Rhinolophus ferrumequinum: one gene and its partner. The protein of the gene in region 1 purifies or fractionates together with the protein of each later gene. This does not show direct contact. Links are inferred from orthologs where the notes say so. Each region holds a gene or a part of one and is shown in the gene's direction. Other genes may lie near its edges.

The links.
Region 2: the proteins of GOLPH3 (region 1) and FAM20B purify together in Homo sapiens (affinity purification with mass spectrometry; 3 studies listed by BioGRID and IntAct, with this or other methods). This does not show direct contact. The link is inferred for Rhinolophus ferrumequinum from reciprocal best matches to the Homo sapiens genes GOLPH3 and FAM20B.

Annotation. Positions count from the first base shown.
Region 1 is NC_046290.1:21,194,176-21,209,092, reverse strand, and holds the start of GOLPH3 (Golgi phosphoprotein 3), read left to right. Parts: upstream 1-7,925; 5' UTR 7,926-8,206; coding exon 8,207-8,431; intron 8,432-13,529; exon of another isoform or gene 13,530-13,585; coding exon of another isoform or gene 13,586-13,648; intron 13,649-14,917. UniProt on the Homo sapiens protein: Phosphatidylinositol-4-phosphate-binding protein that links Golgi membranes to the cytoskeleton and may participate in the tensile force required for vesicle budding from the Golgi.
Region 2 is NC_046305.1:12,112,454-12,127,627, forward strand, and holds the start of FAM20B (glycosaminoglycan xylosylkinase), read left to right. Parts: upstream 1-9,047; 5' UTR 9,048-9,167; intron 9,168-10,063; exon of another isoform or gene 10,064-10,085; intron 10,086-15,174. UniProt on the Homo sapiens protein: Responsible for the 2-O-phosphorylation of xylose in the glycosaminoglycan-protein linkage region of proteoglycans thereby regulating the amount of mature GAG chains.

The DNA of each region.
Region 1 (14,917 bases):
GCTCTTTGGCATCTGCCTTCATCCCTTCTGTCCCCTGCCCCCCTTTCAAGAGTTAAGAATGAGGATGATTTCTGTGACACTCCTCTAATTCATGCTGGGGCCATTTACCTGGTTTGACTTGTTTTGCTCTCCTCTCACAATTGGAGGGTTCTCTCATTGTCACTTGAGAGCACATCCGCTTTCTTCTCTTCATGACTGCTGCATTAACCTGATTATTTTTCTCAGCCATGTTGCTCCTGGCCCTTCTGTCCACTGGTGACTTAACGCTTCCTATGTAAAATCTCTGGCCTGTAAAATGAGTGGAGAGTCAGCTTTCACGAAATTACTTTTTCGGATGAGGGAAGCTGACGAAGGGTTCAGAGTTCTGTTGACAGTTAGCAATTCCTCATGATAACTGACTTGGTGGTTTTACTGCAAGAGGAGGGAAGTCCTTTGAATCTAAATATATACCAGACTCTGCTTTAGAGAATTATAAGCCAAGGAAACTCTTCTCACCTTGTGTTTCTGTTATCTATTTCTGATAACTATTTCAGTTATCTGTTTCTCAAAATTGATGGCTCATCTCTGCTCCACATGGCACCAGCTGGCACAACTCAACTGGAGGGCTAGAGGATTCACTTTTAAGATGGCTCACACACGTGGCTGGCAAATTTGTGCTGTTTACTGGGAGTTCGGCCAGGGTTGTGGGTCAGGGGCCTCGGATCCTTTCTAGGTGGACCTCTACACAGGATGCTTGGGTTTCCTCACAGTATGCTGGCTGGGTTCCAAAAGCAATCGTCCAAAGAAAACAAAGTAGGTGTGCATTATATTTTAATGACATGCCCTCAGAAGTTCCATGAGATCAAGTTCACCATGCCCTGTTGGTTGAGGCAGCGTCAAGGCCACTCAGGTTCAAGAGGAGGGGATATAGACCCTATCACTGGACCAAGGGCAGATGTAGGCCATCTCTTGGTTTTGAGAAATAGCATAGACAGAGCTGATTACTGGATCTGAAGCAGAATACAATAGCAGTTAAGCAAATGTAAAGATGGAGAAACTAATATTCCCAGATCTTCCTCAGTCGGATCCTCTATGTTTGATTGATAATGAATTGTCCGAAACCTAGTAACTCTTACCTTAAATGCAGATGCAAAAAAAAATAATTAAAAAAATTTTCGGATTATCTATTACTTATTTACATTTGACTTACCTAAACCTCTCATAATGGAGGAAATATTTAATTATATCACACTATCTTATTTATTAATTAAATGATGCAAGGTAAAGTTTACTGGGATTTTGAATTAAAGAAGCTATAGACATTATTAAGATTATTATGAACATTATTATGTCACCTGTTAAAATAACTTTCATCCTCATTTGGGTAGAAAGAATTTAGTTAAAATAATAATTTGTATTTTTAGTTAATTAAATTTTTATTAAAATTAGTGTTTTGTATATGAACCCTATTGCTTTTTCATATGGTTTAAACATACTCTATTCAGAAGAGATTTTTCTACTTAGTGAAAAATTCATTTGAAATATTTTCTGAATTGTTTTAGTGAATTAGTGGGGAGGGGTTTTGGTGGTGAGAAGGTAATAGAGCAGGACCAAATATGGAAGAACTGTTATGGTAAACGTCATTGGGTTATTGTAAAAATGGCCATTTGGTGCTGAAGAATATTGTGAGCTTCTAGAAAAGGTCTACATAAATGCAAAATAACACAACAATTTTGTCTGTTAAATATGGTAGGAGGTGGGATATACCTTGGAAAAGCTCTTTTTTACTTTGACAAGTAAAATAGCAGGAGAGGGAGGGAGCTCTCCACTTTAGGAGGGGGCAGAGAAGAAAGCTACTCAGGAAATTCCATGTCAGCTAGGAATGGCCAGGGGCAGTTGGCAGAAAGTCACTTGTTACTGATACAGAGCATTTATAGAAATGACGCTAAATGAAGTATATGATGGCAGTTGGAGATGTTTGGACAGGCAGTGGGGCAAAGTAAGTAGAGGTGGCTGTAAATTTGTGCACAGAGAAGAAAAAAGAGGAACTGACACTCCCACAGAATATGCAAATAGGCAAATTTATAGAAACAAAAAATTGATCAGTGGTTGCCTTAGGCTGGGGAGTGGGGTTGGAGAGCAAAGGGGAATGACTGCTAATAGGTAGTTGTTTTTTGGGGAATGATGAAAACGTTCTAAAATTGATTGTGGTAATGGTTGTACTAAACTAAAAACCATTGACTTGAACAATTTAAATAGGTGAATTATATTGTATATGAATCTAATCTTAATCGAGCTGATATTTTGAGAAAATAAATCTAAAATTGAATATAAATAAAAATACATATATATGTAGATTCAAAAAATGTTTATGCCACATGGAGAAAACAAATGCACCACCTACATGTTCACTTCTGTGTCCTTATTCTATCTTCCAAATCATGTAACCTCCTTTTGTTAGTATCCTTTATATCTTTCCAGCGCTTTAAAAATGTATATATAAACGTGAAATATATTCTTTGTTTTCCCTTTTCTTATACAAAAAGTAGCATATTATATAAACTGTTCTGCTCTTTGTATTTTTCTCTATACAGTATATGTCAGAGATCTTTCCATATTAGCACACACAGAAAACTCCCTCATTCATTTTCATAGTACACGGTCTTCCATTGTGTGGATGTTCTACTGTTTATTTAATTAATTTCCTATTGATGAACTTTGGGTTATTTCCCCTCTTTCACTTCTACAATGTTACAATGAACAACCAAGTACATATGTCATTTCATAGATTAGCAGATAAATCTTGGCGATAGAGTGAGATTGCTACATCAAAAGGTAAATGCATTCGGAATTTTGATGAATTCACAATTCACCAAATTGCCCTCCATTTTGTACTTCCAGAGCAATGTATGTTATTAGTTCTGGTATTCCCCAGACTTTTGCTTACATGTGTTGCCAAACTTTCTAACTAGTTGGTGAAATGGTATTATCAGTGTAGTTTTAATATGATTTTCCTATTACTAATAAAGTCAAGCATTATTTTTTATATTTAAGAGCCAGCTGTATTTTTATGTGAGCTGTTAATGTTCTATGACTATTCCTTCCCACCCCCACATTTGCTATGTATCTTGACTTTGATATTTTTCCCCATGCAGAAGTTTTTTTTTTTCTTTTTTTTTTCCATGCAGAAGTTTTTGATTTTTATGGAATCACATTTACCAACGTTTTCTTTCCTGGTTCTGGAGATATAGTATAGACATATAGATATAGTACAGATATATGTAGATATACACTAGCTTATTGTATACAAGTAAAGATCAACTACTTTAACATTAAATGCCATTATATCTTTAACCAGTTAAGAAATGCTCTTGGGTATGAATATGGATACTTTGCAATAGTTGTCAGATAAATCTTGAAGGATTCTCAGGTTTGAACTTTGCACAACTGTAGAAAGAAAAGAGGTAAGGTCTATTTTCCCACCTGTTGTATCTGGGCTCATCTTGGGACTTACTTTGACCAATAGAATGCGGCAAAAATAAAAGTGAAAATTTGTGAGCTTTGCAGATTCTCTTGGAACTCAGATGCCATGTGAAGAAGACGGGGCCAGCCTGCTGGAGGCATGTGGACTAGCCTACAGCCAGCACCAATCCCCACCTGTGAGGCCATGTGAAATCAACTGGCTCAAGTGAAGCTGCAGTTTGACGACAGTCATATGAGTAACCCTGTGGGAGACCAGCAGACAGCCCAGCTGAGCCCAGTGCAAATTACTAAACTGTAGAATAATGAGCAAATAGTTGTTTTAAGCCACTTTTTGGGGATGTGGTTTGTTGCATAGCAGTAAATAACTTGTACACAGGTTTTTGTAGGGCGTTTTGAATAAAGAAAAAAGGTAATTGAAAATACTGAAAGATAGGTTCGATTTTGTTAATTCACATACTCTCCATCTCCAAAAGGATTCAAGATGCTGCGGTGGGCAGCCCCTAAGGTGACCCCAGTGAGCCTTGCCTTCTGGTGTTCGTTCATGCATTTGTATAATCCCCGCCTCTTGAGCATGGGCTGAAACTAATGACTGTTTCTAACCCACAGAATATGGCAATGATGAAAATAAATGCCCTCCCGTGATTATTTGCCATTATAGAAAACTCCATTATATTACCAGATTCACACTAGGGATCTGTCTTCTTCCATGATCAAAGTTAATTTACCGTCAGGTCCTGAGGGACCACTGCAAAAGCTAATTGTCTCCTGTATCCATTGTGACTACCTCCTTGGTGAATCCTGTGAACTTTTCAAAATGCAAATCTGATAATATCACAGACCCACCCGTTCCATTTTTCCCTACACAGGGCATTTGAAAGTACTTTCGGTGGCTTCTCATTGTGTTTGGTTGGGAAAAAACCCAAATCTTAAGATGGACGCACAGCACTGCAAGATTTGACACTTGTCACTATTGCTTTTGACAACACTCTCCCCCTCAGCCCCGCCAAAATGGTCTTTGGTTTGATTCTCCATCATCCCATGATTTCTCCTTGCTATGGGCCCTTAGTACATGCTATTTCCTCTCAGGAATGACCAACCCCAATTTTGTTTAGTTAACGTCTGTTCATTTTTTAGCTTATTACTTCTTTAGAGTTGCTTTCTTGAGTCCCAGATAAAATGTATGTCTCTCAGATATTTGAGAGTGCATGCTCTCCTAATACTGTATTCCTTCTGTATTCAAAGCATTTCTCAATTTATACATTAATTAGTGTGATGATTGGCTTAATGTCCATGTCCTCCATTAAAGAGCCTCATGAAAAATGCTATGGCTGTGTCTCTTTTGTATTGCTATGATATCGTCATTGCTTATCACAGTGCATGGCATACAGCCATTATATATAAATACAAATATTTGTTCAATGATTTTATTAAGGACCTGGCTTCTAATGCAGGCTTGCACTTTGCCAGATGTGTTATGTTTGGGCAGATTACTTAACTTCTCTGAACCTCAGTATATTCACCAGTAACATGGGTGTCATAATCTGGGATGCCCAGAAAGCAGGGTCTAAGACAAAGGCTTTTGTGCTACTTTTTTGTTAGAGAGTACATCTCCTAGAAACAAGAACAAGGGAGAGGGGGAGTGAAGAATAAAGAGGGAGAGCCATATCACGAAGGTGTTGTTGAGAGCGGCCGGTTAGCTCAGTTGGTTAGAGCGCGGTGCTTTGAACAACAAGGTTGCTGGTTCAATCCCCGTGTGGACCCCACTTTGAGCTGCGCCCTCCACAACTAGATTGAAACTATTTGACTTGGAGTTGATGGGTCCTGGAAAACCACACTTAAAATAAATAAAAGTTGGAAAAAAAAAGAATGTGTTGTTGAGCTTGTTGTAGCTAAGTGTCACTGAGAAGTTGTATAAAGGATCTCAACAATCCATTTGGGGGAGAAAAAGGGGAACTTTTATGTACTGGGGTGAAGTGCTGACTCCTGCACACTTCTAGGTTGCCCCACATGGGCATAGGGTGTGGTGCTGATAGGCTACGCTTCAGGAGGTGGTTGGAGTCCACACAGAAGTATAGCACAGCAGAGGCACCAAATCTGAGGGTTCTGCTGGGGGTTACTGGAGAACATGCCTGGCACAAAGTCAGCAGTCAATAAATAAACGGTCATTGTTATTAGTAATATGTTTTGGTTCTCAAAATGCCATATTCTTTTCTGTCCCTTCCTCTCTCCCTTCCTTCCTCCCTTCCTTTCTCTCTTTTTTGTTCTTTCTAGACAAGGTGATTTTGAAGTCCACCTTGTGGAAAATAAGCAAGGAAGCAATGCTAGGAAAACTGAAAAAAAAATAAAACAGAAAGTTATGTAAAGTCTCAATGATTTGAAGAGTGGTGCCTATTTTTGTAGGCAAAATATATGTGGCTAGTCATTATATTTATTACAGCATTGTTTATAATATCAAAGAATGAGAAACAACCTAAATGTCCATCAATAGGGGATTGACTAAAAAAAAAAAATATGATATGTTTATACAATAGAATATGCACCTGAAACAAAGCTCTTAAGTATTGATATAGATAGTTCTCCAACATCAATTAAGTGGGAAAAGAATACCAAGATACAAAACAATGTGGATAATATGCTATTATTTGCATCAAAGAGAAGAAAAACATTTTCACGTTTGCTTGGGAAGGATATCTAAGAAAATAATATTAGTTACCTATTTGTGTGAATACGTGTCCAAGTATTTTAGTACCTATTACTGCATAACAAATGACCCCAAATTTAGCAGCTTAAGACAACAAATATTTATTATCTCATGGTTTTTGAAGCTCAGGAATTCAGAAATAGCTTAGCTGGGTGGTACTGGCTCAGAATCTTCCATGAGGTCCCTATCAAGATGTTAACTAAAGGTTTGAGTGGGGCTGGGGGATCCACTTCCAAGATGGCTCACTCACATGCCCGTGGGGGGGAGGCCTGTTCCTTCCCAGCTGGACCTCTCCAATAAGGCAGCTTGAATTATCTTCATGACATGGCTGCTGGCCTCCCTCAGTGAATGATCTGAGAGAGAGAGAAAGAAGCAGCAAAGACTTTTATGACCTAGCCGAAGAGGTCACACAGTCACACTTGCCACATTCTATTTGTTTGAAGAGAGTCACTAAGTCTGGCCCACACAAGGGGAGGGGAATTAGTTTTCCCCTTTTGAGAGGAAGAGTATCAGAGAATATGTTGGCTATTTGGGAAAGAATTGGGAGAGAAAGAAAAAAAAATCGAAGAGGATATGAATGGGAGAAATTGGTTGAGGAGAAATAGACCTTTGCCCAGAATGACAGGAAAAAGGGAGGGTCTACTTGTGCTCACGCTGCTCCCTCCTCCCCACCCCGGTAGAATAAGCATTCTCACTTTCCAGGGCTTGAGGTGGTGATGGTGTGACCGGTAGTTCTGGATAATGGTTTTGTGGAAGGGGGAGAAATCTGTAGCCAGAATTTCTATGGGATGGCTTTACGGCTTAATCATTTATTATAGCTTAAGTCCTGTTACAACAATATATTTCTATCTAAACCATTCTGCAGTCAAAGCCTGTGGTCATTGTTGATTTTAAATAGTATGCAATTCCATTTCTAGATAACGTTTTACCTACAAGCTCCACCCTTCCAACACTCCTCTCAGTTTTGACATTTATTCTTTAACATAACTTGCACAGTCAAGCACGCCAAAAGGATTTAACCTAGTAATTAAATCGAGGGAGATTTAATGTGCACAAAGACGTGGCATGAAACTCAACAGGTTTATTGTCTGTATATAAAGTTCATTAAGGTCGCGTCTACTGACATGGGCAGTACTAACTGTACTCACTGCGCCCTGGTCACTTTACAAGTCGGGGGGCGAGGAGAAAAGTTTTACAAACAAAACTATTCCATCTGTTCTAATCTCTTTTTATGCAGTAATACACCTGGAAAACACGAAGTCCACTTTCAAGCCATCTAAGTGCAGTTGCTCCTTCTGAAGGGTCAAGCAATGGGGGCAGAGAACGCGTCCTCTCCTCGCTCCAACTGCAGCGAGCAAAGTCCTTTCTGTGTCTCGTGGGGACTCCGAACTCCGAGCCGGGTCCCTGCAACCCCGGCCAAGGCCAGCTCCGAGGATGGTGATGTCTGGGGAGCTAAGGGCACAGCTGGAGGTTGACCGGAGTCCACTCTTGCTAGGCCACGGCTCCCCCGACTCGTGGCTCCAGCCCGGGTTTCCTGTGGGGAGAACGGGGAGACCTGCGGAGGGAGGACACGTCATGGGAGGGGATCCGCGGGCCGGATGGCGAAGGGACGCCAAGGAAAGGGCGAGACGCGGCGCACACCCGTGGGCCGGGAGACGGTCGGAGTCCGCCGGTCCCCGCCCGCCGCTTCCGGCGCCCTCCGGTCCTGCCCAGAGCCGGCGGTGCCACATCCTCCGGTGACGTCAGCCAGCGCCGCCATATTGGAAAAGCGCCGCCGCCGCTGCCGCCGCCGCCTGGGTGTTCGGGCTGCCTCCGGGGCTGCGGCCGCAGGAAGGAAGGAGCCCCTTTCTCGCCCGCGGACACCCGACCCATCCGCTTCGCCCCGGCCCGTCTCCCCATGACTGCCCCCCGCCCCGCTGCCGACGGACGTCGCCCCAGCACCGGGATTTAACACGGAAGCCCGGGTCGGGGACCGCGGCGGGGGGGTAGGAGGGAGACCCGGTAGGTCCGCGTCCCTTTCGGCCCGGCGCCTAGGGGGGAGCCATGACCTCGCTGACCCAGCGCAGCTCGGGCCTGGTGCAGCGGCGCACGGAGGCCTCCCGCAACGCTGCCGACAAGGAGCGGGCGGCGGGCGGCGGCGGCGGCAGCGGCGAGGAGGACGCTCAGAGCCGCCGCGACGAACAGGACGAAGACGACAAGGGCGACTCCAAGGAAACGCGGCTGACCCTGATGGAGGAGGTGCTCTTGCTGGGCCTCAAGGACCGAGAGGTGCGAGCAGGGCTGGGGTGGCCGGTGCGGGGCCCGTGCTTCTGCCTCCGAGCTCCCGAGCGCCGCGCCCGGCAGCGCCCAGCCGGCCTGGTGCTTCCAGAACCTCCCCGCAGATTGCTTCGGTTTTCCCTTCCTCCTTTCACATCACTCCTTTTATTTTGACTCCCGGGCAGTCGGTATGTCTTCCTCACCCCTTTCCGCGTGTTTAATAATCCATGTAGACCCCCGGTTACAATCCCCACCTGCCCGTTAGAGTGAAACACCTGGAACCACTAGCGCCCCGAACTCCTGGGTTTTGCGGGTTTTAGGACCTGGGAGGGCTCCACAGATCTGCTTTCTGGGAGACCTTTTTTTTTTTTTTTTTTTTTTTAAAGGAGTACTGTTTGGAATTTTGAAAAATTGCGGTGAAATGTTAATGGAGGCAGAGTTGTTTTACTGATAAAGTTAAAAGTCCAACAAAATTCTCGTGACAACTCTCGGAAAATGACTTTCTAGGTAAACTTGCTTTGGGTGAGGTTATTTTTAGTCGCGCTTTTACGTTTTACCAGTTGACTATTCTCCAGAAAGTCTTGCCATCTTAAGGGAGGGCTTTTTCGTGGGGTGCTTGAAATGCTAGGTTTGTGATTTGATGAAAGGCCTCAAAGCCTTAGGTAGGTTAAAGTTGAATTCTTTGTACTCAGACTTTGAAAGATTATTTTCACCCAAATACCTTACGAGAATTTTCACATAAAGAGAAGTTGAAAAAAACGCTACAGTGGACACCTTATATATTCACCTCCTAGGTTTTATCATTAACATTTTGCGCTTTTTGCTTTATCACATATCCACCTATCAACAAAAATGACTATGTTTAGAACCCGCAGACAATGAGAGAGATGGTTAGTTTGTCGAGAGAGGATTAGTCTAAATCAGGGGTGTCCAAACTGCGGCTTGTGGGCCAACTGCGCCTGCAATCCATTTTTTATTGGCCCGCAGCAAATTCCAAAAATATATTTAGTTTACTTAAATAGACCAGGTGAGGCAATAGTACTTCACCTGGAGTGAGTGGCCCGGCTGTTTGTGTATTTTATCGCATATGGCCCTTGGTGAAAAACGTTGAAAAAAGTTTGGACTCCTCTGGTCTAAATCATTATGTGCTAAAGTGGTTTCAGGAGCTTATTTTATCTCAGCATGGAAACCACAGACATTTTGAGAGTCAGAAAAATACCTATTTTTTCTTTTTGAAAATTTATTTTTAAATAAATTATAGTTGACATACAGGATTATATTAGTTTCAGGTGTACCATAATCTGTTTTGATTTTAAGAAAGTTTTCCCAATTCACAAAGGTGGGCAAAAAAATTTAATCCTCATAAAACAACTTAGTCTTACTTCACCAAAACTTAAAATCAGATATAGGTGAGGTTTATATGGACTGTTGGTGGATTCCTGATATTTAGTAATCTAATGATAACTAAAGTTTACCTTGATAGAATTGCCTAGAGCATTTGCAATATCTAGGTTTCTCATTTGCTCAGGTTTTACTAAGATGACATGAAAAAAGGTTATGTCCCTCTGGCTGTGAAGTGGGTCTCGTATCTGTTTATTAATTACTGAGTTATGATGAAATCAGTCTGTATGTGAAATTCCCTTTTGTTGTTTAGAAAAACAAACTAGATGTGTAGTGTCCTAGAAATATGATTTTAGAAAGTATCAACTTGCCAGGACAAAAGTACCATTTTAGAAAAACAAAATGAAATAAAGAAGTCATCAGTATTTCTGAGTGAATATTTTAGTTTATACTTCCTGAGACTTTTCTGTGAGGTTATGTCTTGTGTGAAACTAAAACTTAAAAAAACTAAAACCCAAAGTTTTGGACTTTTGAGTCACACTGCGTGAGAAATTATGGTGAGAAAGTGCCTTTTTGTTTTTTCAAGTATGTGTTACTCTAAATGTTTAAGCAAAAGCATAGTAACATGCTACTTCCCTGTGATTGGTTTTCATGAAGATAAGCTAAAGAATTTATATGTTGAAGCTTTAAGGGTACTTAAAAAATTCAAACAATTTAAAGTTCTTTGGTGGCAGGTAATTGAAACCACCTGTTGTGTTTGTGTCAGGAATCACTATACTTTGCCATGTCCGTGGCCAAGATCCAAACACTAGCTAATTCTGAGTATTTCTTGCTGATTTCAACAACCCCATAGGGATTATCCCCCCCTTTTCAGGCAAGTCCAGGGAGTTGAAGTGGAGGTGGGTGGCTTTGGGATTTTACATTGCTTTAAATTTATGTTTTAGGAATCAACCTATATATTTTTTCCTGTCCTCATGTCTTCACATACTAATAACCATCCCTGTCAACTCATCCATTCATGTTTTTCTCTTTTGGAGGTTCTCCCCACCCCCAACACCCCCCTTATCTTCAACTTGTATCACTCTTTAAGGGTAGGAATTACTCTCTCACCTAGAGCCTAGGCATTTATGCTTGTTAATATTAGAGCTTAATTTACTACTTTGATATTAACAAGTTCATAACTTATTACTTTAATTTTTTATTATTTTAACTTAGCATCCATATTTGTAATATCTGGGTACTCTTAAGATGTTTAAAAGCTAAACTTTAAGGTTAGGCAGGTCATTAATGATGGACACATTTTATATGGGGGGGTGCCAAAAAAATGTACACAAGTGGACACTTTGGTCAACGTTGCTCAAGCAGTAGTTGACTGTAATCAGAAATGTCTGGACGCTGATGGTAACCACTTTGAGCACCTCCTGCAATTGCAGAAGTCAAACGTGACTTGTATTCATCTTTGGTTATCGATATATATTATTACAAGTTTAATAGTTTTTTCTTTTTTAAAATGTGTATACAGTTTTTTTGGTGCCCTCTGTATATGTGATCTCACTGATATGAAATCAAAATAATCAAAGAATTTTAAAGAAATTGTGAAATGACTTTGTAAAAAAGCTGACACTTAAGGCATTTTGAAACTACTTTTTGTTGAATAATAAACCTACAGAAAAGTATATATATCATAAGTGTGATGAATTTTCACAAACTGACCATACCTGTTAAACCAGTATCTAGGTCAAGAACCAGAACATGATCAGCTCTTTAAAAGCCCTGTTTGATTTCCGCTCACTGCCTAGTCCTCAAAGGACTTTAGAATTCAGCACTGTCGCATCCTGCACAACCAGGGTTGTGGGGAGCAAGGAGGGCGGCGCAGGGTTAAGAAAAGACAGTAGCCATGAATAGAGTGCAAGAGGGGCCAAGGGACTCCAGCATCAAGGACTGAGCCCCTATTTGGGCCTACGCATAGTTTTATTAGTTAGGTGGGGAAGCAAAGGAGATAAAGCTTGTCAATCTCAAGATCTGTGAATCCCATACATTATAATAGGAAACCGATTCAAGCCAGTCACCCTTGCCTGCAGGCAGCAGAACAGTAAGTCTCAGGATGTCTGTACTTTCCCAAGGGACAAAACCTTTATGCATATGAATAGATGGAGAACACATCTCTGAGTCACTTCCCCTGCAGGTTGTGGGAAGGAATGCAGCCACAGAGGCAGAGGCTCTCCTTAGACAGGGGGAGGTGGAGGACTGTGCCCACCTCTGTGAACCCCGTGGATTCTCCTGTTGGTCCCCACTCGACTACACCTGGCTTGAGTTGTCCCCCCCATGGGGAATCTTACTCGTCGTTGGCTGACCAGCCATCTTTCTGGGGCCAAACAGGCATGAGGTGCAAACACAAAGGTGAAGCAAAGTCCCTGAAAGGATCTGTCTCACCGACCCTCCTTTAGGGGCAGGTACGAGGAGACAGACGGGTAGGCTGCTGTGTGGCAACATAGAATAATTTTGCCAATTTTTGAGCTTTTCATTATGTCTTGCTTTTGTTCAGCATTGTTTGTGAGGTTCATCCATATTGTGTGAGGTTGTCATTTGTTCCTTCTCATTTATAATCTACAATATTTAAAAAGTTACTTTGACTTGTATCCTGAATCCTGAATCTGGTGTTCTCCCTCTCCCTTCTTTACTGAATGGAAGAAGGCTCAGCTTGCCAATAAGCAAATGGTCTGGCTTCACGTTACCTATTATGGGGTGACTCTAAAGTCATTGTGAGAAGTTCTTTTTTCCCTTCTATAGTAAGTACACATTTCAGTTTTTTTACCAATGACTTTCCTTTCTGGCTTTCATTAAAATACAGATGCCTGAGCCCTTCTTGGGATGCTGGTGCTCAGCCTGGGCGGAGCCTCAGTGACACAGGTATTGACCTAACTCTTCAGAGGCCACAGCAAGGATGGTACATAGGTTTAAACTTGAATTCAACTTCCTAATGATTAGCAAGCAAGATTTCTGTAATCTCCCCCTTTTAAGGGGGAGGAACAGCAAAGGAGCCAGGTATTTTCCTTTCCTCTCAATATTTTTAATTTTCCATAGATGACTCCAGTAGTCAGAGTGTTTTCAGAACGCCTCACTATCACCTCAAATAACTGGTGTCATGTACTTGTAAATATCTTTGTTGTTGGCAAATCTTAGTGCTTTAAGGTTGGGTTTGATTATTTTAAATGACCAGGTGTAATTTAGAGTGATCCTGTGAAGTAGCAGAAATTGAAAGAGGTTGTGTAGTCCAGGTCTGAGGTGCGTCCATTGTTGTACATAATTATTTAAGCTCTCTGAGCCCCAGAGTTCTCTTCTAATGGATAGAGATAGCAGTCCTCTGCCACGGTGGTTCTGACTGGACTGTTGCGGACGTTTATTGTGGACGTTTATCGTTTTACTCTTCACCAAGATTTCCCCCAATTTTGACTGGCATTTAGGGCATGCCCCATTGCGTGTAGCCCCGGATGCCCTGTTGAAGCATTTACTCCTTCTTTCCCTTTTGTGGTGTAACCAGACCTAGACTTTTCCAGTCAGATGTTTTCTTCCTGAGCTTTGTTTGGCTCTTGAGAGCAGAACAGACTGTGAGGTTCTTTTGGAGACTTACCAGAGTAGTGTGGTGTGTGTATCAGACTATTCCTTGAGATCAGACTGTTCTCTGACATGGTTCTTTGAGCTTCTTTCTCCCTAGCCTGTTGGTGCTCTCTCTTCCATTCCTGATTTTCCAGGCACATTTCAATTTTGTAACCTTTAAGAGCTGTCCAGTAAAGTTCGGTTTTAAAGATAGTCAATCAGTTACTGATGTTTCTAAAGCTTGGAGGCAAGAATCCTAATGCAGTATTTTCACTCTATCTTCAAAAACAGGTAGGTACTTGAGCTGGATAATATACACTTTGGGTGAAATACTTAAGTTTAAAATGATGGAACTGACTTTTGTGTGGCTTTTAAACTGGCTTCAACGATTGATAACATAGATGTGTACCATTTTTGGAATAAGTTTCCCAATGTCTCTACTTTGAACTACAATACTTATCGAGATGTATAATTTTTTTAAAAATTCTCCTTACTATATATACATGCCTTCTTACTGTACATGCAGAGATATGAGTATACACCATCTCTGCATATCAAATCTGTTGAGAAATTCATTCAACAAATGTTCAGAATTTCAAGATGTGCTAAGATTTTAGTGACTTAAAGTATAATAAAGACTTCTGAGTTTTGGAATTTTGTGATTCCTTTATTAATACAAATAATATTCCCTTCATATTTTTGCAAGATTTGATATTTATTTTTTCAGGTGTATTTAAGAGTAGTTTCACAAGTATGAGAAATACAGGATCTCAAAAATCAGTTTTTAGAGTTCATTGAACTGTTTGTACCTTTTAAACAAAATTTTATCCTATTGAAACCACTTTTCAGTGTCTTGGGATTCTTTCACAGTGTGGCCAAAACACTCACTGGTTCATCTTATAAGTCATAATAATATTTGATACTTACTAATTTTAGACCATCTGATCCCTGTATAGATCATTTGAGATTATCTTTTAAAATTGTACTTTTAAATTATTTTGATTAAATCTGGAAATATTTGGGCATTTTTTCTGATATTTAAAGAATGAACTATTATAGTGTCAGCTTACATGTAAGTCTCAAAAGACTCTAAATGCGTCATGTTTGTTCTGTTACGTTAAACTTTTGGCCCAACGCCTTTATGTCCAAGCATACTTTCCCTACTTTCTACGAGCATGATTTTTCTGCCGTTAATCAGAGTAAATGGTATCAATCAGGGTTGTATTAATCTTTGCTTAGGGCATTTTATTTTCATGTGAGGCTCCTTTTGAAGCAGCACCAAGAGACTGCTTATTCCCATGTTTCTCCCAGTTAATGTAATGACAAGTAACAGAGATGGGAGCCTGGCTTTATTTTGAAATTGATGTGTTTGTGGCTCCAGTAAATATTGAGGTTTTAATTTAGGTATTACAGATATATACAGAAAATAGGCTGTTTCTCTTCTTATTTGTTGTTTGGTAAACCTCTAATCTGTAAAAATACAATTAATACTACAGTGCATTACATTACCAATAAGAATGCTCCTTAAGCTTAAAAATTTATATTTTAAATGAAAAAATG
Region 2 (15,174 bases), on another chromosome or scaffold:
ATTTTATTTGCGTAATGACACAGTAACCTGCTCTGCAGTGGGGAAGTGTGGGAAACCACGCTTTGTGCCTAACTCAGACCTGGGTGTGTGTGTGTGTGTGTGTGTGTGTGTGTGTGTGTGTTGGGGCGGGGAGGGCTTTAGCTGCCTCCTACATTCTCCACCAGTGCCCCCCCACCTCCCTGCATAATAAGAAGAATATTATTTTAACTGACAAAATATGTAATATAGAAAATTGATGTTTTCTCAGTCATATGCACATGAATAAGAGCATCTTTGGAAAACATTGCTTTATTTACCAGTGTGCCGTGTACAATTTAAGAACTGTTCCATCAGTTCCCTGCCTTACCCTCTTCCAACCAAATAGGCTCCCCTAAGCCCTTCTTCTGTTGAAATTGTAGAGCTGGCACAACTAGCTGGCGGGTAGGTGTTTGTTATATGAGCCAGCAGCCCAAAAAAAGTCTTGATTCTGGGTGTACCTGTCTGTCTCCTCCTGGGACTGGTGCCCTGTTCCCAGGCCTGGCTCAAGGCAACAGCTCAGGAAATGCAGGTTGAAAGCCTGACCATCAAGAGTGACAGATCATACCTGACATAAAAGCGTTCACCTCAAGGTGCTTCTATAATGCTAAGGAAGGCTGCTGCGGAAGCGGACCCCATATTGCCCTCTGGAGGTCAGCGATCCCCCCAGCCCCCCGAGGCCCAGCCTAAGCCTCCGGTTCTTTAAGCCGCAGCCCAGAAAGGGTGTGGTCTGACTGCTCAGAAAGTTCTATGAATAAACCCAGTCTTCACTCACATTCGTGAAAGGAGCACTGTCCCCAGGCCGCCTCAGCCCTGTTGGTTTCAACTTGAGCCTCTTTTGAATTTTAAGAAAGGACAAGGAAAGGCACTGTATAGACTGCTGTACTTCTGACTTTTTTTTTCATTACTCCAAACCGTTGGATGTTGAAAACCTTGCATTTACTTGTGAATTGCCAGTCTGTGTTTGTGCATGGAGGAGGGTAAAGACTTGAAGGGTCAAAATTATTTTCATGTTCCTTGTGAAGTTTCTCCAGAACTTAGCTGTCCATTGAGCATCCTGTACTGATTTCTGTGTAGGTATGCCATTATTTTGGTGCGTTTTTATAACCGGAGATGCTGAAAGCTGCTCTCCCCCAGGGCATGTGCTGAAGTCAGATAAGCTAAGATGGCAACATAGCCCCCACCAGAAGTTAGGGCCCAATTTATCGATGGAAGAAGGTCCGGATGAGCAGCACACTGACTTAGCTAGGAGACTGCACACAGAAACATTGTATGCATTAGAGAGGAACTCAAAGACACCACATTGTTAGCACACTATTTACTTGCAAGCAAGGAAAGCCAACAATAGATGTATTTCGTATATCAAAGACAAAATTAAGAGTGAAATGTAAGCTAGAGGAGAAAGGAGAGGAGAAACTGGAGGCATGTTGAAAATAACAAACTTTACCTTTTCGTGAGTAAGCTGCTGGTTAGCAGGCAGCCAGCTAAGAAGGCAGGCAGGATGTTCTGCCCTCAGCATCGGGATGGGGCATCGAAGAAGATAATTCCAGTAGTTCATGAGTGCTCCAGAGCCCCTGGGTGTGTAAACGTGCCACATGTGTGACAGGCTGCCTGTTTTGCGGGTCTGCACCACAACCCTTACAAAAATTTTTCAGTGGCAAATGAATGCAAACAGCCTAAACGCCTGACCAAGGGAAGCCTGCTAAATGAATTACAGCGTATATCCAGTACAAAATACCAAAGATCTTTTTAAATGTTGTAGCAGTTCAAGGAAATGTTGTAGTAAATGAGAATGTAATAATGTGGGAAGTTATGCCTGCTATACCATGAAGTTAAAAATAAAAAGTAGATTTTAAAATAATATTTACAGGGAGTTCTGGGTAAAGATGGCAGAATAAACACGTGTGTATGCTTTTTTGGTTCCTCCTCAATCCCTACTAAAACAATAACAAAAGGAGTTTTTCCCTAAATAAGCTCTTTATTAGAATCTTAGCAGTGATATTAACAAAAACAGAGTCTCCACAATTATAACAAATAAATGACAATGTGCTTTAAAGCAAGACTAAAGAAACATAAACCTGGGCTGTAACTAAGGTCTCAAAGGGTGTTTTTTTAAAGGCATACATACACCTGCCAAGACAGGGAGGAAGAAAGAGGAGACAAAAAGCACAAAATTTGGAAGCACATGGACAAAATGTGATCTACATAGGAGAGTCCATGGAGCTTTCCAGCATGATGTGAAGGCAGACCAGGCACAAGGGGCAAAAAAGTCTACGTGGGAGCAAGTCAGCAAGCTCCAAGGAAGGATTTGTTAGAGGTGAAATTGTTAAAATATATGTTTCAGTTTGTAGGGAGGAGATAGAGTCAACTAGCAGAGCTTTTTGGATTGAAATAATAATAATAAAACTGAACAAATGAAACAAAGCAGTCATTAACTCCAAAAAAAATAAATAAATAACGAAACCAAAAGGTAATTGGAAAAGGACTCTGTCCATCAGGGCCTAATCAGAAAATAGAAACTAGACAGTAACTTGAACCGAGAAAGTTGAATGCAAAGAATTATTAACTGTAACCGCGGATTGGCATAAGGAGAGATTGGCTAATGCAAAGTGAACAGAACTTTCTAGGACACAAAAATAGCAGATATGAGGGCCAGCCACCACCCTTCCAGCTGAGATGGAGCGCCAGGGCTGAGATCCAGATGGCTGGAGAGGGCACAGTCGTGGCTTGCTGAGTAACAGAGGACTTGCTGGAAATCTCCAAACTTCTCAAACTCCACCCTCTAAGATGCTAGGGAAAGCCATTTATGGAGCGGGGTCTCCCTGGAAGCCCCAGGAGGGGTGGTGGGGGACACAGCTGGCCCCTGTGCCCTACAGGACCCTGGCCATCTGCCAGTGGCACACCAGAACCAAGAAGGAAAGACCCCTTCCTCCTTGCATTGCCTCTCCAGCACCCTCCGCTGGCAAAGCTTAACAGGGTGCCATCCAGCAAAGGAAAACAATCTAAAGGGTCCAATATAAGTTTCACAGAGCCAGCAATAAAGGGTGAGTTGGAGTTGAGAGGTTATAAATTACTAACCGGCCCCAAGATCTTAAGATTATCATGAGAAATAAAACGAGGCAATAGATGCGATGCCCTTAGCAAGGCTTGGCAAACAAAAGAAGTTCTCATTCATGGTAGTTACTGTACTGGGTGGTGAGTTGGCTATCAGCCAAGAAGGCTTTCAGTGTGTTCTTGGGCCGCTAAATGGGCTATCAAAGAAAACAATGTCAGTTGTTTTTAGATCATCTTGGAGCCCTTAGAGTTCGACTGTGAGGTCCATGTGGCAGTTAATACTGTGGGTGGAATGAAGAGTAAACTGGAGTGGGGAGAGAGAGAGAGATGAGAAAATCCAGCAGCAAATTACTGCCATAGTCTAGGAGATAAATGAGGCAGGTGTCCGTGAGTGGTGGCAGTGGTGATGAAAATGGGGCAGCCTCGTGCCACTCCCTAAGGAGACACTAAGGCTCTGAAGACTGGCCTTAGCCATGGCGGTGGGTGACCCACGGGCCAGAAGGTAGATGGCCTTTAAAGGGAAAGTACGTTTCAGAGCAAAGCACCCTCCCCTCCCCTTGTAAGCTGCCTTACTTGGGGAGCTCGGGCTGCATGTAGCAGGGACTCTGACCAGCCGTTCATTCCTCAGACACGCTCACAAGTTGCAAGTAGACGGTTCCAGGTTTGGTGAGTTCAATGGCTCAGAAAGGATCCAGGTGGCAAGAATGTGGAGCTGCTGCCACTCTTATGCTGCTGGTATGTGTGTAAATTGGTGCCACCCCTTTTGAAAAGGGGCACTACTGATAACGCTGAACATAAGCATATCCAGTGACCCAGCAGCAGCTCCACTCCTAGCTCAACCCAAACATTCTTGATGGCACAAGAATGCTCATGGCGCCACCAGTTGTAACAGCCTCCCACCCCCATCCCCCCAAAAATCTGGAAACTACCCACGTGTCCTTCAAGAATAAAAATCAATCAATAAATCGTCACATAGCCTCCCAGTGGAATTCTGTTTGGCAGTGAGAATGAATGATCTCTAACTACACATGACATGGGTGCATCTCACAGACATACTGTTGAATGGAAGACACCAGACACAGAAGAGTACTATGCCTTTGGGAAACGACTTATCGGGCAGGGTCCAGTCAGGTTCCATGTATATGAGGTATGAAAGCAGGCAAACTTGTCGGTGATGTTAGATGTTGGGACAGTGTCTACCTTTGGGGGCAGGTGGTAATCAGAAGGTGTTAGTTACCCAAGGGTGTTCAATCTATGAAATTTCATGGAGCTGCATGTGTGTAATTTTCTACATATGTTATACTTCAGGAGCTTAAAAATGCAAAAAGAAAAAAGAGTGGTACTTTCTAATTTTCCTTTCTGCCTTCTTTAGAGGGTTGGCCTCGTTTTTAGCTTCTACCTCACGGTTGTAAAGCGGCTGCCAGACTGCACACATAACCTCTTCACAGAGCTGCAGCCAAAGGCATTTTCTCTTGTCATTCTCCTTTTAGTAAAAAGGACAACCTTTTCCAGAAACCCTCCAGGTGATTTCTTCTCAGGTCCCATCAGCTGTGTGGTGGGTCACGTGTCCATGTTTCTAGCAGGATGGGAAGCTGGAAAAACACGTTCGGCACGTCCAGCCCCTACCAGAGGCTGGAAGGAGAAGGAAGGGTGAGGGAGTGCTTACACGGTGGGAAACAGTGTCCAACCCATAGAATCAAGCCATGCATGCTGTTGAAAGAGTTAACCACTAGCCAGACCCAGAGACAGAGCTCCTTTCTGATAGGGAGGGCTAGGCGGGGTGAGAAGGTGATCCCAGCTCCTCAGAGAACCACGTCCAGTAGGTATCAGGGGGCCTGACCGGACTTGGAATCCAATCTCGAGTTCTGAGTCTACTTGAACGAGCTGTGTTCCTCTGGGCAGGTTACTCAACTCTGGACCTGTTTCTATGTCAGCAACATGAGGAGACTGGCCTAAATCCAAGGTCAGTACATCATTGCACGAGACGTCACTACTTTGAGGTCCTTGAAAGGAGGACATTGATCTGCTTTTGTTGGTGCTCTTGAGGTTGGTTTGCTTCCTTCTGTAAGCACTTTTTAAAAGCAACATTCTCATAAAAATTCTCATAAAATGTTCTCATAAAAATTCTCTACCGTCCTGACAAATTCTCCATTCTCTCCCTTCCTCTCTCTCTCTCTGCTCCCCTTCCCTCCCCCCCTTCCTCCCTCTCTCCTTCCCTCCCTATTGGACCTAACAAGGGAGTAATCCATCCTCCACTACCCCCCACAACACACCAGGTGAGCATCAAGTAGGTACTAGAAAGGGCCACCAGAATCAAATTTTTTTTATATAACTAATGCTTTCCTTGAACTTGTAAAGAAATGGGATTTGCCTGAGAATAACTTACTAACCTACTACCAACTGACTTCACTGAATAGGTATGCAAGCATCACCGTTGATGATGGTGTGAGTTTAGTTCAACCACCCGTGTATGCCTCCTTACTCAGTGCTCCTAGCAGGGAATGAAGGGATACGTGTGCTCCTTCACTCACTAATCTCTTGTGACTCTTTCCCAGGCTCCTAGCACCTTGGAACAGCATGAGCTTTCCTACAGCTCCCTTCAACTTTCTTGATGTAGAATTCACTTCATTAGTTTCAGTAGGATCCATCGTTGTGGGTGTGTTTTCTTAACAGAAGGAGGGGTGTGTGGTACGTGTTGCATTCGAGCAGGCAGGCATCTTGAGAGGATACTCTCCTTATACCATGGGATGGCTGTCCCAGGGCTTGACAAACAAACTGTCAGAGACTTGGAAATTCTGAATCAGCTTAAGGAAAATGCTTACTATGATGAAAGGACCAAGAACAAAGCCTCCAGTGCTCCTGATTTCCCATGTCTGTGGGACCTGTTCTCCTAAAACTTCTCTTTTGAATGTTGAGTGTCTGCCATGGACCATGCACGGTGTTCATGCTACTGAAGATGCAGATATGAAGAAGACACTGTCCTCAGCCTCGAAGGGCTTATAACCCAGGGGAAGGGGTCAGATATATCCCCAAAGATGTCAGTACAAACCATATTGCAAGAGAGGTACAAACGAAGTACTGAGTCTCAGAAGCCCGGTTAAACACCCACAGTTAGAAAGGTCAGGAAAGGCTTCATGAGCAACTGGCATTTGAGAGAGATGTAACCTTTTCACAGGTGGAGTTGGAGGGGGAGAGGGGTACGGTGGGATTTCCAGAGGAAGATTGTCACAACCATGGGGGCAGGGATAGGGGACGGCCTCATAGAGCAAGTGAGCCCTTTAGGGTGGAGGGTAAGGAGTTAGCAGAAAATGGGCCTGGAAAGGTGGACTGATTGGAAATTCCAAGCAGTGGAGTTGCCATTGAATTCTTGAAGCCATGGACAAGCCACTGGAGAGTCCTGCAGGGGGATTTCTCTGCTAAGGATGTGTGTGTGCCACCCTTGGCTGGAGGGGAACAGCCAGATTTCTGCTCTGATTTCAACTCGATGCACTTCAACACCACAGTGCAGAGAAGGGACCTGCATGAGGCAGGCATTCCCCAGGTGGAAATAAAGATGAAGTGAAGTCAGACTGTGTCTTTTCAGAGCCTGGCAGTGTGGGGACAGGGAAGAGAGAGACAAAGGGGGAGATTAGACAAGGATATCTAGAACACAAGACATCCCACGAGTTGTGAAAGAGTTTCGTGGAAGTCTTGGCAAAGTGCTCAGACCACCCTAGTGGGGCTCTGCCTGACCTTCCATTCTGTTGCTCAATATTAGACTGGAACCTTCTCCAGGACGAGAACCAGGCCTTCCTTGTCTTTGCACCGCCTGGGTCTAGCTCAGTGTCAGGCACTTGGGAGACATTCACTGAAGAAGGGAAGGGGGGAAGGGAGGGAGGGAGCGAGGGACACCTCTCCCATCGTGTGTCCTCTGCTGAGGACGTCTGTCTTTAGTTCACATAGCACTGCTTGACTTTGGTTCATATTGTCCCTCTCGTCTCCCACCCATCTATGCTCGCCCCACTTCTGCCCCCCTGGACCTGGATGCTTTCAGCGATCACAGAGTCTGTGCTGCATAATTGAAGCCTCCTGTATTCCTTGCAGCTGTTTCCTGTGTGGTAGTCATGTAAACTCTTTGAAGGCAGAGTCCCCTTCTTACATGACTGCATCTGCCACAATACCTAGACTATACTGACTGTTGATTGGTTGGGAAATAAGGCCCATCCCAGGAGGAGAGGACAGTGACTGACATCCTGGAGTGCCAGGCGCTGTGCTGTGTGTACATTCCCAAAGAGCCTGGATCATGTGGCCTAGTGAGGAGAAAACTGGAGGACAGAACAATTTTGTCATCTGAAATCTTTCGCTAGGAGGCTCTGAATTCTTGAGGACAGAAGAGGAAAAACTGCGTCTGTCCTGCAGCATGTGGGGTGCGTGGAAAGATTTGATGGATGTGAAATTAAACACTGGAGTGGGTTACCCAGAGGAGCCGAAAACCGTCCTCTGATTTCCTTAAAGATGGGAGAGGCAGGGGAATCACTAGGAAACTGAGGCTGCAGGTGGCGCTGGCCCTCTCCTCGGCAGTTACAGTTGGACAGTCCACCCTTGCTGCTCTTGTCAGAGTTACCGGCAAGAAAGGAGAGTCCTTTGGGGCAAAGCATCTCAGGGGAACTGTTGATTGGCCCTTCAGCTTTATGATCTCCTGATCATAAAGGTTCAGGGAGATTAGCTAACTGTAGACTGGCCGGGCCTACAGTCAATTATTTCAATAATAATTGAAATAATCCAATTATTTCTCTAGGATCTCCTGATAGTAAGTGCTCAGTAAATACACACGCGTAATAACTAACATTATACAATAATTTGCAAGTCCTTTCCCCACACATTTCCTCATTTAGTTGTCACAATAACCCTGTGAAATAAGTACTATGATTAACTCTCATTTTCTAGATAAGATACTGTGAGCGGTTAAATGGCACACCCAGTATCATACAGTCAGTAAATTCTTTCCATGACACACTGTGGTTTAAATGAACTATGCAGGCTGGAAAAGAAGTCAGCTCCATCTTTCCTCCATCACACATCTTATCCCACAGAGCAACGTGCATTATAGTATTTCAGGGACAGGTACACTTAAGTCCAAGCTTAGTACAGGGTGAATAAATGAACAGATATATTATGCAGTGGATGTCCTGTATGGAGTCAATGGAAACAACTTCAGGGGAGGGAGAATCTTTCTTTCAGACCATTTACGGGGAGTCTACTGGGGTCTGGTATTAGAGACCCAGACACGACTGCCCTGTCCTCACGGGGCTTACAGTCCATCTCAAGAGACAGACATTAAACAACTGATATTACAGTAAACTAATCACCATTTTGTTACAACTAAATGTCGCAGGGGGCTTTGCTCTGGTCCGAAGGAGGAGCGATTTGTGCTCACTGTAGGAAGGCTTGCCTCTTCTGCGCAAGGAGATGCAGTTACATAGAAGCAGATGTTGAGGCAAATTAAAAGGGCAAAAGGAGGAGACAAATTGCTTCTTACAAATAGAATTTGACCTGAGGGACCCCCAAATCTCCAGTCCCGCTACCTAGCTGCCTACATACCTAGGGAAATCAGGAAAAAGCGAAGGTGGGAAAGAAGTGAGAGCTCAATTTCTGTGGGCGGGGCAGGGCGGGCTGGGCTGCAGGACGAAGGTGAGACTAGAGCCCGGGTGGAAAGAGTTAAGTGGGGCCTGCCAGGAACGGAAAGGGTTAAGGGGGCGGTCCGGAGCGGAGCCGATAGGCCCGCCCACCGGAGGGCGGGGTGGGTGGGTGGGGCCTCGCGGAATGAGCCCTCGGATTGGTCGTGGGGTAGGCTTTACGCTAGGACGGTACCAACAGACGGGAGACGCGGAGGCGGGGGGTGGGTGTGGGACAACCGGCTCAGCGCCGGGAGAGGTGGCCAGGGAATGGCTGGGCCAGGGGTGGGCGGGAGCCGTAGCGGCGGCGGCGGCGGCGGCGGCTGCGGCTGGGGGAGGTGAGTGCGGCGTCGGGCGGCCCCTCCCCGGAGGCGGCGGGGGCGGCCGGGGCCCCGCCGCACCGCACGGCGCGGGCGGCCATGGAGTGAGCCTAGAGCCCAGCAGGTGAGTAGCGTGGGGGCGGGGGAGGGTGCGCGACCCTCGCCACCCGCGCGGCGGGCGGGAAAGTGCGGCCGGCACGCGGGCTGGGAGCGGTGCGTGGCCCGCGCCAGGCAGGGACCGCTTGGGGGCGGGGCGCCTCCCTGAGGGGCCGGGGACCGGTGCCCCCAGACGTCCCAGGCGGCCGCGGGCGGGTCCCAGACGGACAGCGGCCCGGGCCGCGCGCCCTGCCTCGCTGGCTACGAGGCCGGCTCCTGCGGGCGGTCGTGGCTGAAGGGACGCGGCCTCGGCCCGCGCCTCCACGGCCCGCCTGAGGCGCGGGCCTTACCTGGGGACGCCTCGGGCCGTCTAGGGTACTTCTGGTGACCAACCCTCGCTCCTGCATGCGGTCCCCTGAGGCGACTGGCCCCCGTGCCGCCCTTGTGTCTCGCTGGGCGCCCTTTGCAGCGGTCCGGGGAGGATCGCGCGCCCGTGGGCCCACCTCGTGGCCGGGAAGCACGAGTGACCGGCAGGCCCCAGGCGGGAGGCGGGGTGACCGTGCCCCGGGGCCCGCGGTCGCAATCGGGAGCGACTTAAGGAAATGATACGGTAGTCCAAAGTGGGTTGCGCTGGAGATTTTATTTCCGGGTGTGATGGCCCTGCGATTGAGAACCGAAACGTTCATTAATGATGAATGCGAGCAGTTGTCAAGCTGCGTCCTTGATTGTGGGATCTGATAAGAGTTTCATTCTAATCAGGCGTCTTACCTGCAAGTCTTCTGGTTGGAAGAGGAATAGAAGCAAGTTGGAGGGGAAGTGGAGGGGACAGGGCATGGTTTGTGGTTACAAAACTGTTAGCCCTTTAAATGACCATATATCATCGTTTGGACGGCTGAAGAGTTTATAATCTGGGAAAATGAGAGATGCGGCTTGAATCGAGGGTCAGGTATCAGTATCGTCTCCACCCAGCCAGTTTCTCTCTGCAGATTTGATTTCTCACCTTGAAAAGAAGGAATAGGAATGTGGGATCTTTTAGCTTTTAACTTGCAGGACTTTATAATGTGTAATTTAGTCATTGTGATTGCTGTTTACTAATTATTCCTGTTCTCCTTGTGTTGTAAAGTAATGCATAAATTTCACTGGGGTTGATTTTTTTAAATTGGATTTGAGTGCTTATGTATTATTAATTCAAACGTTCAGTTGAGTTTATGCAGGACCTTTGAGCTAAGCCTTAGAGCACTTAGACGACATATATTTTTTTTTTATTATCAAGACGCATATCTTTGAGAAACTGAGGTACAGATGATAAAGATGCTAAATTATTTGCCCAGATTCAGAGCCAATCTAACATAGACTTCAAATTAAACTAATGTTTTGTGTTAAATTAGTAAGTTTTCTGAAGTTTGTGAGGATGTTGGACTTTGGCCCTTAGAACCATACAGTGGAATCAGTCAACAAGCACTTCCTCATTTGAAAGTGCTTATCAAAGAATAAAAACTGTAAGTAAGTAATTCAGACCCAGCTTCACAGTCAAGTGCAGTTGATAGAAATGGATGGAAATAAAAGATGATCGAGAAATCTTGGAGCTCGCAGCTCTCCTTCAGTGTGGCTGGTGAAAATGTGACAGTGATATATTCTGTTTCTCTGGAACCAGTAGAAAAATAGCTATGATTTGGTTAAAGAATGAAAATTTGAAAGCACATGCCCTGCTTTTCTTTCTGGGTACTTTGAATTAGGGAACAAACATCACTCTTTACTGTTTCTATCATCTAATCCTTTATGTCATAGAATTATGTTGAATTGATAATTCCCTGACTTTTAGTATGTTCTTTTGATTTGTATTTGTAGACTCCAACTCTTTCACATAGCCCTAAAGCTGCTTTTATCTTTTCTGAGTTTTGAATTTCTAAATGAAATTTTTCTTTCTTTACTTACAGGACAGGCTTCAGCGTCTTAGAACACTTTGTGTGACCGTCATTTCAGCGGTGTAAACCCTGAAGCCAGATACTTCAGCTCTTGAGTTGATACCATGTTTCCCTGAAAATAAGACCTAGCCGGACCATCAGCTCTAATGTGTCTTTTGGAGCAATAATTAATATAAGCCCTGGTCTTATTTTAATATAATATAAGACAGGCACTTATAAGACCGGGTCTTATAAGACCGGGTCTTATATTAATGTTTGCTCCAAAAGACGCATTAGAGCTGATGGTCCGGCTAGGTCTTGTTTTCAGGGAAACAGGGTAACTTTTTAAAATGGTAACCAAAGTTGTTGTCTCTTAATGATTGCCATAATCACATAATAGAAGCAGGAGATTGCTCTTTGTATTCTGTGGCCATATTTGCAAGCAAGAAAAAGGAGATGGTCTTCTGAAGCTGATGTCAGGTCACGCTGGGGCTAAGTGCCAAGTGGTTTTGGAGATGGAGTGGGGAGCATAGTTGCAATAAGGCAACAGAGTTTGTTGTAATAGTGATGATAACAGGTACTTTTTTCTCTGCACCTAACACACAGTGGATGTGCAGGAAATACTGGGTGGTTGAATGGATGAATGGAAAACAGTATGAAGGTCGGGGAAATATTCTAATGCATATACTAAATTGTTTAGTTTCTCTTTTTGTGGGGAAAAAAAAAAACCAAGAAAAATGTGTCAGATTCCTGTTGAAAATATGAGGTTGAGATGGGTATCTGTAAAGGGTGTTACTTGCTGGAGCCGCCTTGAGATTTGATTGTGTGATTGTATGGTGCTCTAGCAAACTGCAGCCTGGGAGCAGCCTGTGTTGCTTCCATCAGGTGCAGCTTCCCAGACTTGCTTCTGCAGCCTTCTCTGCCTAGGCTAACTGAGCAGTTGATTGGTAGTCGATATTTTTGCATTCACAGAAGAACGAGAGCTCTTAGTAATGACCATGTCAGTATTATTGACTCTGATGGTCCATCTTCTCGTCCCCTGTGTTGATGGTGGGAGAGGGGCACCTCTCCGAAGTGCTTTAGCAGCTCCTCATTCCACGCCTCCCTCTCTTTCTCTCTTCCTTCCTTGAACTGCCTCTGTATCCCCCAAGGACTAATGGATTCATCAGCACAAACCTGGGGTACAGAACACAAGACCTTACTTTGCAACTGAAACTAGCTTCTGACCAACTAACAATGTCCACGTGACTGGTAGGAGCCATCTAGAAGACAGTATAATGCAACCATGGAACTTTACGATTTTGTCTTTCTTACCCAAAAGCAAAAGAGGAAAGGCCTGGCTCTGAACCTACTGAGTCTTGGGGTGCATCTGTTATCCCAGTGTGAGATGAGAAATGGAGGCTGACATAGAAAATAGGTATTAAGCTTTGGTGTGTTTGGGCCTCTGTAATTTCTGGCAAGGTAACAATCCTAATGAGGGGAGGATGTTAATTTTGGTACATTATATTAGGTTGGTGCAAAAGTAATTGTGGTTTTTGCAATTATTTTTAACCTTTTAAACTGCAATTACATTTGCACCAACCTAATAAAAGGAGGTCAGGGAATGTGAAATTATGAACGTGTAACAGAACCAAGTACAGGTGAGGCCGTAAGGTCATATCATTATTCCATGTTTGCAAATGCTGACTTTCTGCTTTATGTATATAGCAGTGCGCCATTTATCTACTATTGTTAGGGAACATATTATAGTATTATGTGCAAAAATTCTTATTTTAGCTATACTGTTTGTGGAAAAAATTTTTACAATGTATTCCATGCTTTGTTTGCTTTTTAAACAAGATAGTTTAACCTTTGTTTTGTTGACTCAGGGTCATTACTAGCATCCATTACTGACAGTAATCAAGAGGGGCTTTGAGGCCATTGAGATATGTAGGTTGCCTGCCCCCTCTGATTTTTGAATTCTTGAATATGCTTTTATCAGCTAATCTGTCTCTTCTTTCAGAGGCAGGAAAGCTGTACTTTTTTGTCGTTGTTAGTGTCCCTGCCGCCCTCTTTTTTATTTGCAGCTTCTGATCTTCTGTGGAGTAGCAACCCAGATAACTCTGCTTCCTGAATTTGATTGTAACAGCTAAATAGATCTAGTGAGGGTCTACATCTCTTCTCTGTTAATGGTTGACTTGGGCTGCCCAAAGTCCTTTTATTTCTTATTCCTCATCCTTGGTTTAGAGGGTGAACTTTGCACTCTGTATAAGTGTATTTATGTTCCTGTAGTCCTTGGTGTAGGAAAAAGAGAATGATATGGAAGTAAGTACTGGTGTTGGTTCTCGTTTCAGAGAACCGGAAAGCATTGCCAGTGATACTGGAACCTCCAGTTCCAGCCCTGTCTGTGTCGTTCTTGGGCAGTGTCTTGGAGCATCTCCAGTTTTCTGTTAGCATTTCCAGATCATTTTTACTCCCAATCCCAACCAGTGCCAGGAACCAGGCTGGCAATAGCATTGCCTTGAAAGCTGGAAGCAGGGTATACAGGAGCAGCAATTTAAAATTGAGCATATAAAATTGGTATCCATAGTTGATATTTCCGTGGTTTCTACTGTACTGTATATCTGAATCCATCCATGATAGGACTCCGTTTCCCTGTATCTGTAAAATGAGACCATCTACAAACCAAAGAGCGGAAAACATTTTTATAACCATATAGGTCACTCCCCTTGCTCTTCACTCTTTTTATTCAACAAGCACTTAGGGAGCACCTCTCAAGTGCCCTGCACTGTGCTAGCTTACTTGGGGGCACAAAAAGAGTAAAACATATCCCCTGTCCTTGAAGAACTCAATAATACTTGTATAGTAAAGGAGATAGGCATACCAAAAAAGTGTGTGTGTGTGTGTGTGTGTGTGTGTGTGTGTGTGTGTGTGTGTGTTAGCAAAGGGATCAGGCCTGGAGCCACTCAGCTATAATTCAGCACAGACCTGCTTGAGGTGCTACTATTTCTAAAGTGATCTGTGGACTGTCTACTTGACACCCCCAGAACATAAGTTTTAAGAATGTGAAGTGTTATCATTGCATAAAGTCTGTATATCTTTTTAAGAACTAGTGAACTAAACAGTAAAGATGGACAATATGAAAATCTGAAGGAAAGTGTTATATTATTTGAAATGTGATATTTCCACACTATATAGGAATTACATTCTGTAATGCAGCCTTAAATGGTTATACTCGTATACTGACTCTAAAGCAGTGAAATACCTGATACTTGGGAAGGTTCATTATTTCTGGCCCATTTGAGACAGAATGCAAATTCTTAGGCATTTCCAGAGATTCTAGATCAGGGAACACTGCCTGTGTTGATTTTTTTAGAACAAATCTCGCTAACATTATAAGCTAAAGATTTTTTTTCTTTTCATTTTTCCTGAAAGAGTTAGAGGGTTGCCCTAAATCAAGGTTTAAATGGGACAGGTTGCAGGATTTGATTTTTTTTTTTCAGATGGAGCACACGTGATTGCCTAGTTCATTTTCACTGTCACACCCATGGAGAAAGGCTTTCTTAATGCTTCATGAATGCTGGTGATGGTTTGAAGTTGGCTTCCTTCACAGGGAACTGTTAGAGGATTTCACCTAAATGATTCCGAATTTACAGACAGGAATAAATGTTTCAGTGGAAGTGAAAACAGTGAGGAAAATCGAACACTCAGACCAATTTGGGCTATATGGAAATGAGATTTTCTTTACCTGTAACTTTTAAGTTACTCCTAAGGCTTATCTTCAGAGCTTAAAAACATGCAAAGCTGTCATCTTGAAAACACAGAGCTGATTTTCCAAACTGAAGAATATTGTGGAAGGCTTTCTTGCAACCTTTTTTGTGAAACAGAATAAGTTCACTCTTCCCATGTGCCCCACTTACATCGAATGTGGTAGAATTAAACTTTGTGGAGGAGAGAAGCAGGTTGGTCACATTAGTGCCGTAGCCTCCCAGTCTTCTGCTTCACATGGTACCACTCTGAAGACACCTCTTGCCTACAGTCTTAGCTGCTCCTCTAATTTAGGAAAGGATTGGGCTGAGGGATATAAGACTGTTTGAACTCTTAGTGATGCAACAGGTGTATTCTGCCCCTGACTGTGTAACCGGAAGACTA